2 linked regions of the Coturnix japonica genome follow. Each later gene encodes a partner of the first gene's protein in a complex. Links are inferred from orthologs where the notes say so. Each region holds a gene or a part of one and is shown in the gene's direction. Other genes may lie near its edges.

Region 1 (6,080 bases):
GACCTTTGTGACATGGGATGCTTCACCCATAGCCCAGCCCTCAGCACCAAGAGGGAGCTGCTGTGCATCCCCCACACTGAAGCACCCCCAGAATGGGGTCAGAGCCACAGGGGTGCAGCCCCCAGGTATCCCCAACAGCTCTCACTCTTCTCCTGTGCAGGGCTCCGAGACAGCAGTGCACTAAAACACCCCCCTGCGGCTCTCTTACATAAGGCAGGGCTTAATCCTTAATTAAAAAGAGATTAAAAATATCAGTGTCTGTCCCCTTCGGGCATTTTCCTCCTGCAGAAGAATTAAACCTCCCCGGCCGCTCGCTGTGTGTGGAGCTGGGTTTTCCTCTTGATTAAAGCAGCAGATTAGAGCTCTATGTGGCCCAGCAGGAGGGTGGGCAGCTGGGGGCTATAGCACCCCAACAAGCACAGTGGGGATGAAGAAGGTTCTGTTGTGTTATCGTGGGGCTCTGGGGATTCTCCAGTGGCTCGTATAGGGTTGAGCAGAGCATTGCATCGATGTACCCTCCCCGCTCACCAGCTTTCCTTTCTTCCTATAGGGTTGAAGATGTGTGTGAGCAGCGGGAATGGCAGCAGCGGGACCCCAGAACAGGATGGGAAACACCTCCACGTGCCCTCCATCATCGTCACACCACCCACACCCACAGGGACCATGTTGTGTAGGGACACATGGAGGGCAACAGGAGGCACGTCACCGCCCTGCAGCCAGTGCTGAGCACCCATAGGGGACACCAAGAGCTTCAATACAACCCCAGGGCTGGATCCTGCCCTGCTGGGGGTGATGCTTCCCAATGTGCAGCTTCATTGGAGAGCCCCGGGAGAGGACGGCGTGCAAAAGCAGATGGAAACTTCATTTTTTAATGACAGCAGCAGATGGCAAAAGACACAAAAGTGTATTCACACCATGTCAGAGCCATTTATAAAAGTGCCTGGCGGAGCTGCAGCGTGTGCTGGTGGCACCACGGGGGTGGGAATGGATGGGGGATCCACTCCTGAAGCCCCCAGACCTACCCAACCCAATGGGGGCTGGTGGGGGGCAATGAGCCTTTGGGCTCATTGGGATGAGGGATGGATGGGGGGGTGGGTGGTTGAGTGGGTGCATGGATGGAAGCAGGGATGTATAGATGGATGGACAGACATGGGGGTAGATGAAGGGGGGAGTGGATGGATGGATGGATGGATGGATGGATGGATGGATGGATGGATGGATGGATGGATGGATGGATGGATGGACAAATGGATGGATGGACGGACATGTGAGTAGGTGAAGGAGGAATGGATGGATGGATGGATGGATGGATGGATGGATGGATGGATGGATGGATGGATGGGCTGATGGATGAGTGGAGGGATGGATGGGTGGGTAGGATAGATAGACGTGTGGGTGGTTGAGTGGGTGTATGGTTGGAAGCATGGATGTATAGATGGATGGACAGGCAGGTGGGTAGGTGAAGGGGGAATGGATGGATGGATGGACAAGTGGACAGATGGATGGACAGATGGATGGATGGGCTGATGGATGAGTGGAAGGATGGATGGGGGGGTAGGAGGATGGATGGATGGGGGGGTGGGTGGTTGAGTGGGTGCATGGATGTATAGATGGAGGGGTAGATATGTGGGTAGATGAAGGGGGGGATGGACAAATGGATGGATGGATGGACAGACGGATGGATGAACAAGTGGGTGGATGGATGGACATGTGGGTAGGTGAAGGGGGGATGGATGGATGGATGGATGGATGGATGGATGGATGGACAGACGGATGGATGGACAGATGGATGGTAAGTAGGAGCCTGTGTTGGCTGATGAATCGAAGCAACAAGCAGCCGGACCATGGCTGGCTCACGAGCACGACTGGCTGCCCATGGACAGACAGACAGACAGACAGACAGACAGACCTACTGCCCATAGTGAGGCCGGAGCTGGGTGCACTGCTCCTCCCGGCCGCCAGGGGGCAGCACCTCCGAGCGCCGTGACCACATGGAGCGCCCCGAGGCGCCCCGGCAACAAGTGCTGAACTCTGATTGGTCGCTACCCCAGGAGGCATCGGGATTGGTCGCACGGCGAGCGACACGGACCTCCCCGTATGTTAACCAATAGAAACCCACGGGTGAATGAAACAACCAATCAGCTCGCTCCGAGCTGCTCCGAGTCCCGCCCACACGCGGAGGGCGCGAAAACGAGCCAGATGGCGGGAAGCAGGGTGGTGTGGGCGGGGCTTAGTCGGTCGGCAGCCAATAGGAAGCGTGGGCGTTTGGCGGGCGCGCGCCGGTTCCGGACCCTATTAAAGGTCCATTAAAATGGAGCCGGCAGAAGCGGAGTTTATGGCCGAGAAGGAGCTGGTGACCATCGTACCCAGCTTCAGCATGGACACAGTGCACCTGATCGGGGTCAGAGGGGGGGAGAACGGCAATGGGGGGGGGCTGAGGGGATATGGGGGGTGTGGGGACAAGGGGGTGCCTTTATTCTCATCTCTAATTGATTTTGCAGGGGGATCTGGGCCCTTTCAACCCCGGTTTGCCTGTAGAAGTGCCGGTCTGGTTGGCCATCAATCTGAAACAGAGGCAGAAATGTCGCCTGATCCCACCAGAGTGGATGGATGTGGGTAAGGACACAGGACGGCAGGTTCTGAGGGTATAGAAGGCGCATGGGAAGCTCTCTGGTTATCTCCATTAATGGGGAGCTTAATTGAAGTGATTCCCAATTGAATCTGGTGTTTGAGTCCTGCTCCTTTGGTGGGCAGGAGTGGGGTTGGTAGAGGGATAAAAGACCTTAATGGAGCAGTCCTGCTCTATTCATTCAAGGGCACAGTGACTCATTAGTGCAAGTGTTGAAGGTTTGGTCAAGCTGATGTGGATCCAGCATGGTGAGCCAAGTGTCATCAATCAGCTTTATGGCCCTGATGAGGATCTGTCCTCCCTTGGGAGCTGAGAGCTGCTGTGGCAAAGCTGCTCCTAGAGCCCAGGACAGGCATTAGGTGTAAGGGGTGTTTGGCTTCATTATAAAAGCCTTCTCCTGGCTGTATATTGTCCATGTTTAAACCAGCTTGAGTCAGAGATTTGGAAGAGGTGGGTCAGGAGCTGGGGGTCTGCCACCATCTGACATCCCTATCTGTGTTATAGAAAAGCTGGAGGAAATCCGGGACCAAGAACGCAAAGAAGACACCTTCACTCCGATGCCCAGCCCCTATTACATGGAGCTCACCAAGCTGCTCTTAAACTAGTAAGTGGGAAATGCATCGGAACAGTTTCCACCCGACTACGTTGCTTGCATAGATAATTTATCCAGCTTTTTTGGCTGCAACCCCAGAGGGCTGTGGGAAAGGGAGAGTTAATGGGGGTTTATTTCACAACGTGCCAAGATCTCTCACCGCAGCCGTTTTCTCATGGTAACTTTGCATTGCAGTAACTGGGGATGGCTTGTTCCGTGCCCTGATAATTGGGGCTGTGCCGCTTTATTGAGCAGCAGCTGAGCGGAGAGGCCTGGACTATAGACAGCACATTCCATGGCTGCAATCTGTTCGGCAGCCTGAACCCTCCAGGCTTCTTCCTTGGCTCTCCTTCAGGAGGAAAGCTCCTCTTTCCTCTGCTTGAGAAGCAAGAGAGCGGGGTTATTCCTCGTCTAACCTCGTGCCTGCTGTGGCATTTCACTTGTAAAATGTGCTGGCTGGTATTTTTCTAAGCTCAGGCTCTCCTGACTTGAAGCCCTTGATTACAGTGGGGTGGTCGTTTAAGCACTGGCTTCTCCTCTGGAGACGACGCTCTTGGCTCACGCTAGAATAACCCTGACAGCTCTGTCCGTGTGAATTGATCTCATCTCTCGAGGTCCTTATGGCAGCACTGAATTGCCTTAATGGGAGGATGCGGCACGACTCGTCAAGTCCCTTCAATTTAATACACCCTGATAGAACCACGAGAGCACAGACAGTGCTTCTAGTCCTTCCAGTTCCCCTCCTGTGTGTGGTTCTGGGCCGGTTATTGGCCCTGCTCGTACCTGGTACCAGCTGGGCAATTACAGAGCAGAAGGACTGAAGTGAGAAGCAGACATTGCATTGGAGCTGAGGATTCCTGGGTAAATAAACCACCCTGAAAATCCCAGCCCTGTAAGCACCAGGATGGATTTTAACATCAAGTCGCAGGAGAGGAGGGGGGGGGGGGGTTAATACAGCAAACTGCTCCGCTTCTGCCTCAGAGGGCTGAAGAGCTGCCAACATTACTTACACCACTGACATAACATACGAGTCTGTTCTGATCCTCTCTCTCCTCCAGCGCCTCTGACAACATCCCCAAAGCAGACGAGATCCGGACGCTGGTGAAGGACACGTGGGACACACGGATGGCCAAACTAAGGCTGTCTGCAGACAGCTTCGTGAGGCAGCAGGAGGCCCATGCCAAGGTTAATGGGATGGGGATGGGGATGGGGATGGGATGGGATGGGATGGGATGGGATGGGGGCAAAGCTCAGGCAGCTTCACTGGGGGGAGCCCAGCTGCTGTGGGTGGGTTGGAGGCTGATGAGAGCTGCATGTGGGAGCACTGGGCAATGTCAGGTGCTAAAGCCACGTGTTGAAACCTCTTTTGATGGGCTGCTGGTGGCTCCCAGGGGAGCAGCATTGGGAGAACAGAGCTTGGGTTGGTCGTAGGCTTCTATTAGCTGGTCCCTCTGGGTGTCATCATGCTGCCAGGCTCCTCGCCTTCCCTTCAACACGGCTCTGCTTTCTCTTCCAGCTGGACAACCTGACGCTGATGGAGATCAACACCATTGGGACTTTCCTTACTCAAGCCTTGGATCACATGTACAAACTCCGGACCAACCTTCAGCCTTCGGGAAGCGCCGAGTCCCAGGATTTCTGAGCTCTTCTGCCCACACCAGCCCTCCATGTATGTACATCCACTGTGCCAACCTCCACCTCCCTGTGCACATCCCCCAGCACCCTGTGAGTTGGGTTATCTACATGCAGCCCATCCTTGGCAGCAGCTGCTTCCCCTGCTGCTCCCACACAGCCTGGGGAGGGAGCAGGGAGCTGCTGCAGGGCTCCATGAAGCTCTCACCTCCCCTTAGCAGCACTTCACCTCCCTTTGGTTCAGAGGCTGCTGCCAAAGATGCTCGCGGATACAGGTGGTGTCTTGCCAGCATCCAGCTAATGATGTCGGGCAGATCCCTCTGCCCTGCAGAGCGTGGGTGTACTTCATAGAGGGAACTTCTGAGGGCAGCACAGGCCACACACTGGCTTGAAAGCAATGGATTTCAAGGCGGTGCTTCACTCAGAGCCTCCAAACAGGGAAAGATTGTGCCGGCAGGGAGAGCGCTGGGAGGCACATCCATCTGCTCCTTGGAGAAGGACAAAAGGAAATGGCTTTTCCCTCTCTGAGCCAGGCTGGTCGGTGCTATTAAACATCCCAGCACCTGGGTGACCACCAGCTGGTTGAGCAGGACCCCGAGAGGGACAGGGAGGGGGATAAGGACCCCAAAAGGGGATGGCAAAGCTGATCCAGCTCCTGCCCAAGGGGATGTGCAAATGGAACCTTGATATTACAGGCTGGCATGGGAAGGAAAGGGGGGGGGGGTGGATCTCAGCATAGAAGCAAAGCTGCAGCAGCTGCAGCCACGAGGGCTGTGAATGGCCAACCATTTTCCATCCCTATCCTCCCTCCTGCACGCAAGGAAGGAGAGCAGTGAGAACACAAGGAGCTGAAGGCAGAGGTCACCTTTTCCTTTGAGCTTATCTGGTGGCAAACAAGGAACAGCTTCCCCTGGGAGCACAGCCCTGTGCCCACCAATGTGCTCTCATTATCTTAGGGGGGGGATTTGGGGCTGCTCCCCATGCTGCCCTATAAGTAGTGACTCCCCAGCACTCATCACTATGCAATGCTTATGGCTGCCCCATTGCATAAGTGAAGGGGGGGGGGCTGCTATAAACATGAAGAGGAGGAATAAAAACCAAATAAAAAGGAGGGTGGGGGGGCAAAAAACATAAAGCAGAACCATAGTTTAAAAAAAAAAAAAGGCAAGCTTTGTTTTCCTTTATAACAACAATAATTAAAGCAATAGAAAAAAAAAACATACAAAA
Region 2 (5,832 bases), on another chromosome or scaffold:
CTGATCCCAGCACAATGCTGCAAAACCCTCCAGGAAGGTGCATGGGTACCAAAAGCAGTGCTGGGGCTCATGAGGACAAAATGCAGGGCTCCCAGAGTTCCCCAAATGACGGAGGAGACAGACAAACACTTATGCTGACACCAGGACATCAGAAACTGAAAAACCACTTGGACATAGCCCGGATTGCACAAAGAGAGACTGCACCCTTGAGCAGAGCTAAGGGAAGAGCCCATCCAGCCTGACCTTGGCTGCCTGCAGGGACGGAGCACCACCACCTCACTGTGCAACCTGCACTTCGCTTCTCTCCTTTCCCATCTCCAACCATCCCACAGCACCCACCAACCGAGCTACACCTCCACCCTACAGCGCACAATAAAACCACCTGCAGCCTCCATGCAAAGCGAGATGCTCACGTAGGAAAAACCCAACACCCACCCACAGCAAACAGCCCCAGGGGAGCAAAACCCCCAAACCATCACCATGGACACACAAACTGAACCCGGAGCGGTTCTCCTCGCTGTCCCCTCTCCCTGTCCCCGCAGCCGCCCGCACTCACCGCACCGCACCGCCGTGTCCCGCAGCCACCGCCTCCAGGCACCGAGCGCATGCGCTCAGCCCCGCCCCGGGCTGCCCCACCGGCCGGATCTCGGGTTGATCAGCGGCTGTTCCGTCTCCTTCTGGTCTTACAAATGCTTTGCAACCGAAGCTTTGTGGGCATCGCTTTGTTTGCTCGCCCCCTGACCTGCTACGTGCCTCCCCAGATGCTCTGATCTGTTAAGCTCGGGGTACTTTACACCCTGAAATGAATCACCCGCTTTATTCCCTCCCAGGTGTGGTTGTGTTTGCTCCGGAGATTGATCCCAACAGGTTCCGACTCAGCTGGGCAGGGTTGGGCTCTCCCTGCCTGTCCCCCACCCCAAAAACAGGGGTAAAATGGATGAGAATTGCCTATTATAGGGGTAGGGGGGATGTGTTGGAAGGGCCCCTTTAAGGCCATCAGTCCCACTGCACAGGGACACCCACAGCTCCAGCAGTGCTCACAGCCCATCCAGCCTGACCTTGGCTGTGTGCAGGGATGGGGCACCACCCCTGGGCTGCTGGTTGGTGACCCTACACACAGCATTGGGTTAAAACCAGATGGTGATTGTGGTCCTTTCCAACCCAGGCCATCGTATGGCTGGGTCCTGTGACTGAGGGGTCACTCATGGTAAGTGGGATCCCATCCCTAATGGGTGCAGATCAGCAGTGCTTTGTATGCAGATGGGTGATAGCCAGGCTCGTAGCAGGGGAGAAAACCAGGAATAAAAGGAGCCAGCTGTCACTGCCTTTAGTAACAACCAGAATTCACGATAACAGATGAGCAGACAGAAATAGCAACGCGAAACCTCCAGCCATCTATATTTGGGCTATTCAGACCTCCTTGGAAACACAGTATTATTCATTGCTTTATTTTGCTTTCGCATGACAGGAGAAGGGAGCGACTCAGCATCATGTTGGCACTGGGGGAGCTGAGCATCGGGTGCAGGACCATAGGAAGACACTGCAGCCCTTGCTCTACATGCATTCAGGTGCCTGATTCCTGTTTAATGTTACCCCTGTAAGGTCCCCATAGGAAGAGCTGCCTCCATCCTCGGCCTTCCCCGACCTGTAGCAATGAATTATTCACTCGGCGTTCTCCGTGCCGAGGCTGTTGCTATAGGGCAGGCTCATGAATAACAACAGGCGCTTATTTTTAGCCCTAACTCGTTACCGTGCTGCTGCCCTTGGTTCACAGCCATACCTTCAGCGGGACGAACCCCGCAACGCCGCTATGGGCTGGGGCTCCCTTTGGATTTACACACAGCACTTCCTTCCCAGTTTATGGGATGGCATATATGGCCACCTACGTTCTCCTTGCTAAGATCCCCTTAGAAAAGACATCCGTTACCCCATAGGGAGTCTCCGCTTTGCTATCTGCAGCTACAAGGTGGGGGGGGGGAGGGCAGGGGAGATGCTTGAACCTGGAACGGGGTGTTACCCCAGTGATAATAAGGAATCAGCAATAAATACACTAATTTAGATCCTCATCCCGCTGCTGACACCCAAAGCTCAGCCGGGACCCCAGACCCCAAACGCCCCATTCCCGCCCCCGCCCCGCCTCCTCCGCTCCCATTGGCTGCCGCTGCTGCGCGTCAACTCCCGCCACTTCCCCTTTGCCTCCCATTGGCTGACGCCCGGCGGCGCCGCCCAATGAGGAGCGGAACTCCCCCCGCCGTGGCGGGAAAGCGCTCGGTTTTGGCGCCAAAGAGAAGCGTGGAGGTTGCTGTGATCCGGGCCGGCGTTTGGGGTCTGCTGGGGATCTATAGGATCTATAGGACCCTTTAAAGAGCAACCCGGTCCTTACCTGTTTACTACCCCCTCCCTGCAGCATGGCAGCCCCAGCGGACGGGCTGGACGATGCGGAGCTGCGGGAAGCGCAGCGCGATTACCTGGATTTCCTGGACGATGAGGTGAGCAGCGGCGTGTATTGCGGGATGCAGCCTCCCCTTATAACCGGGGGTGGTCATCGCTTCCCCCCCAAACCCCCCAACAGGAGCCATGGCGCTGGGGCTGCTTATTCCCCAGGGAATAAATGGAAATGGCTTTACACGGCTCATGTGAAACTGAGGGTTGTGTTGTTACCTATGTGTGCAGGAAGATCAAGGAGTTTACCACGGCAAAGTGCGCGACATGATCAGCGACAACCAGTACCGCCTCCTGGTCAACATCAACGACCTGCGGAGGAGGAACGAGAAAAGAGCCAGCCGGTACGGGGGGGGGGGGGGGGGGGTGCTGTTGTGCCAGCCAGCCAGCCCTTACGAGCTTGCAGCCCATTGATAGAGCAAATCCTGTTTGTTTGAATCCTTACAGTAAAATTCGGGTGTTTGCATGGTGTGAGGCGTCTCAGCTTTAGGGTTCTGGGGTCTTTTTGCAAGAGACTTGCAAATGGTTTAAGTACAAGTTGAGATGTGACAGCTGCGAGTTGGAGGTCTGGGTTGGATATTAGGAACAATCTCTTGTCATGAGGAGCAGTGATGCAGTGGCACAGCTGCCCAGGGAGGTGGTTATGGAGCACCCCCATGGATGGTGACCCCACCATGGGGATGTGGCACTGAAGGACACAGTGGGCACAGGGGGGTTGGGCTGGGTGACTGTAGAGGTATTTCCAACCTTAATGATCCCCTGTTAGGTGTTTCAGATGTAATTGGGTTTGTTCACCTTCAGGCTCTTGGTCTCCATGAGCTGTGGGATTCTCAGTGTTCTTTCAGAGCACACCGAGGCATCTGGAAGGGATTTCTTAGAGCTGCCAAACAGGGTTGCCAACAAGATGCAGCTCTCAGCCATCACCTCCCTCTGTTGCAGGCTTTTGAGCAATGCCTTTGAGGAGCTCATCGCCTTCCAGCGTGCTCTGAAGGACTTTGTTGCCTCTGTTGATGCCACCTATGCCAAGCAGTATGAGGACTTCTACATTGGGCTGGAGGGCAGCTTTGGTTCCAAGCACGTCTCACCACGGACGCTGACCGCCTGCTTCCTGAGCTGCATTGTTTGTGTGGAGGGCATCGTGACAAAGTGTGAGCCTGGGGGCAGGTTGGGATGCTGGGTGGTGTGAGGAGCAGAGGGTCGGGGTGTTTGGTACAGCAGGAGTCCTCCAGAACCAATGGGAGGACAAGTGGAGTGATGGTAACAGTGGACTTGAATGTTGGGAGCTGCAGTCCTTGGCACTCTGGTTATCAGCACTTTTGTCCTGTGCATATAGTGGATATCTTTTTGGGGTTTCATGGTGACAAACAAGTGGGACTTTTCTGCCCCTAACTCTTCTTTCTTCCAAACCCAGGCTCTCTGATTCGTCCCAAGGTTGTCCGGAGCGTCCATTATTGCCCAGCTACCAAGAAGACCATTGAGCGCCGATACACAGACCTGACATCCCTGGATGCTTTCCCTTCCAGCTCTGTTTACCCTACAAAGGTGAGGTGAAGCGGCCTCATATGGGGAATATCTGCATGTTCCTCTGGGGAGAATATGCTGGCTCAGCAGGCAACATGATCAGCTGTTGGTTGGCATGCTTGTATGTGGCAAGGGGATTGAAACTAGATTGTCTTTAGGGTTTCTTCCAATGCAAACCATTCCAGCATCCCATGGTTGCTGTCTGGAGGGTATGTGGACCATTGTGTGCAGGGATTGCCCTGTGCTTGGGAATGGAGGAAGCTTGACCTAAGCTATGTCTGTTGAACGTGCATTCTTTTGCATGGCCTGCCTGCATTGGGAGCAGTGCTTGGAGGGTTCTAATGTGGCAGTGCTTGATGCTGGCAGCATTAGATCAGGGGGAGCTGTATTGCTGGTGAACTGCAGGATCTGGTAGTCCAGGTAAAGCAGCCCTTTGCAGTGCTCATGTGTGTGTTGGGTGATGCTCTCTTCCCAGTGCTGCTAATCTCTTTATTGCTGTGCCTTCTTCCTTAAGGATGAGGAGAATAACCCCCTGGAGACAGAGTTTGGCCTCTCAGTCTACAAGGACCATCAGACCATCTCCATCCAGGAGATGCCTGAGAAGGCACCAGCAGGGCAGCTGCCACGCTCGGTGGATGTCATTCTGGATGATGATCTGGTGGACAAAGTGAAGCCTGGAGATCGCATTCAAGTGGTTGGGACTTATCGTTGCCTGCCAGGAAAGAAAGGAGGTTACACATCAGGGACGTTCAGGTGAGCCTTCTGCTGGCTTCAAGGACAACATCAGCCTTGACACCCCTTTTTAGCAGGGTCCCATCCCTCTAAGATGAAACATAGGGCAGGTTGGATGGGGCTGTGAGCAACCTGGTCTCGAGGGAGGTGCCCCTGCATATAGCAGGAGGTTGAAACTGGGTGATCTTAAAGATCCCTTCCAACACAAACCATTCTATGGTTCTATGAAACTTCTGCTGTTGTTATGATGACCCTGAAAGCTCTATGAGCTTCACAAACATCATTGTAGCTGTGTCGCTATTCCAGGACTATCCTCATTGCCTGCCATATCAAGCAGATGAGCAAAGATTCTCGGCCTCTCTACTCTGCGACTGACGTGGCCAAGATCAAGAGGTTCAGTAAGAATCGCTCCAAGGTATTTATGTAGGTCTTATTTCTAAGCTCGCCTTCCATGATTTTCCTCTTGCTTTCCCTGCATTTTCTACGTAGCTTTTTGTCAATTTCTGTGATATATGTATGTATACATATGTATTACATGTAGCTGTAGCAGAGTTTCTGATGGCTCTGCTCTGTTGTGCGTAGCTGTTGAAATGGAGCTCTGTCTGGGCTGTGTGTGCCCTGACTGCTCGCTGGTTGTTAGAGAAGCTCCTCTGCAACGTTCTACTTTTCCTCCTCAAACCTAAGAACGGAATTAGATGACAGCCTGGATTTCTGAAAGGAAACAAAGCAAAATGCCAGTTCTTTTGGTTGGGGGAGGGAATGGGGGCCTGCCCCCCAGTCTGGTCCTGTGTTCAGATCTTTGTTCTTGTGGGGGTTGCTGCTTCCAGTGCTTGCGAGGTGGTCTAGGACTTCAGAGCCCCCATGGAAAGAATATTCCAACAGTATTCTCCCATCTAAATAACCTCTGTCAGTGTAGTTCTGTGATAGGAATAAGTTCCTTTTCTGGTGCTGTAATGGGCTTGTGAACTTGTTCTTCGGTCCACTTACAGGCTGTGCTTTGCCTCTTCTGCCTTAGGATATCTTTAACCAGCTGGCGAGGTCCCTGGCACCCAGCATCCACGGGCACGAGTTCATCAAGAAGGCCATTCTGTGCATGCTTCTTGGAGGGGTGGAGAAGGTCCTGGAGAATGGGAGCCG

What was found. Proteins that work in one complex are often made in the same cells at the same time.
Region 2: GINS2 (region 1) and MCM3 share a complex: the UniProt entries of both Homo sapiens proteins name them as parts of the CMG helicase complex. The link is inferred for Coturnix japonica from reciprocal best matches to the Homo sapiens genes GINS2 and MCM3.

What each region holds. Positions count from the first base shown.
Region 1 is NC_029526.1:15,692,720-15,698,799, forward strand, and holds the start of GINS2 (DNA replication complex GINS protein PSF2), read left to right. Parts: upstream 1-2,244; 5' UTR 2,245-2,311; coding exon 2,312-2,401; intron 2,402-2,501; coding exon 2,502-2,616; intron 2,617-3,133; coding exon 3,134-3,233; intron 3,234-4,279; coding exon 4,280-4,406; intron 4,407-4,737; coding exon 4,738-4,863; 3' UTR 4,864-4,890; exon of another isoform or gene 4,891-6,032; intron 6,033-6,080. UniProt on the Homo sapiens protein: Required for correct functioning of the GINS complex, a complex that plays an essential role in the initiation of DNA replication, and progression of DNA replication forks.
Region 2 is NC_029518.1:98,089,813-98,095,644, forward strand, and holds the start of MCM3 (DNA replication licensing factor MCM3), read left to right. Parts: upstream 1-2,225; 5' UTR 2,226-2,408; coding exon 2,409-2,489; intron 2,490-2,673; coding exon 2,674-2,786; intron 2,787-3,381; coding exon 3,382-3,590; intron 3,591-3,853; coding exon 3,854-3,984; intron 3,985-4,477; coding exon 4,478-4,716; intron 4,717-5,001; coding exon 5,002-5,110; intron 5,111-5,710; coding exon 5,711-5,832. UniProt on the Homo sapiens protein: Acts as a component of the MCM2-7 complex (MCM complex) which is the replicative helicase essential for 'once per cell cycle' DNA replication initiation and elongation in eukaryotic cells.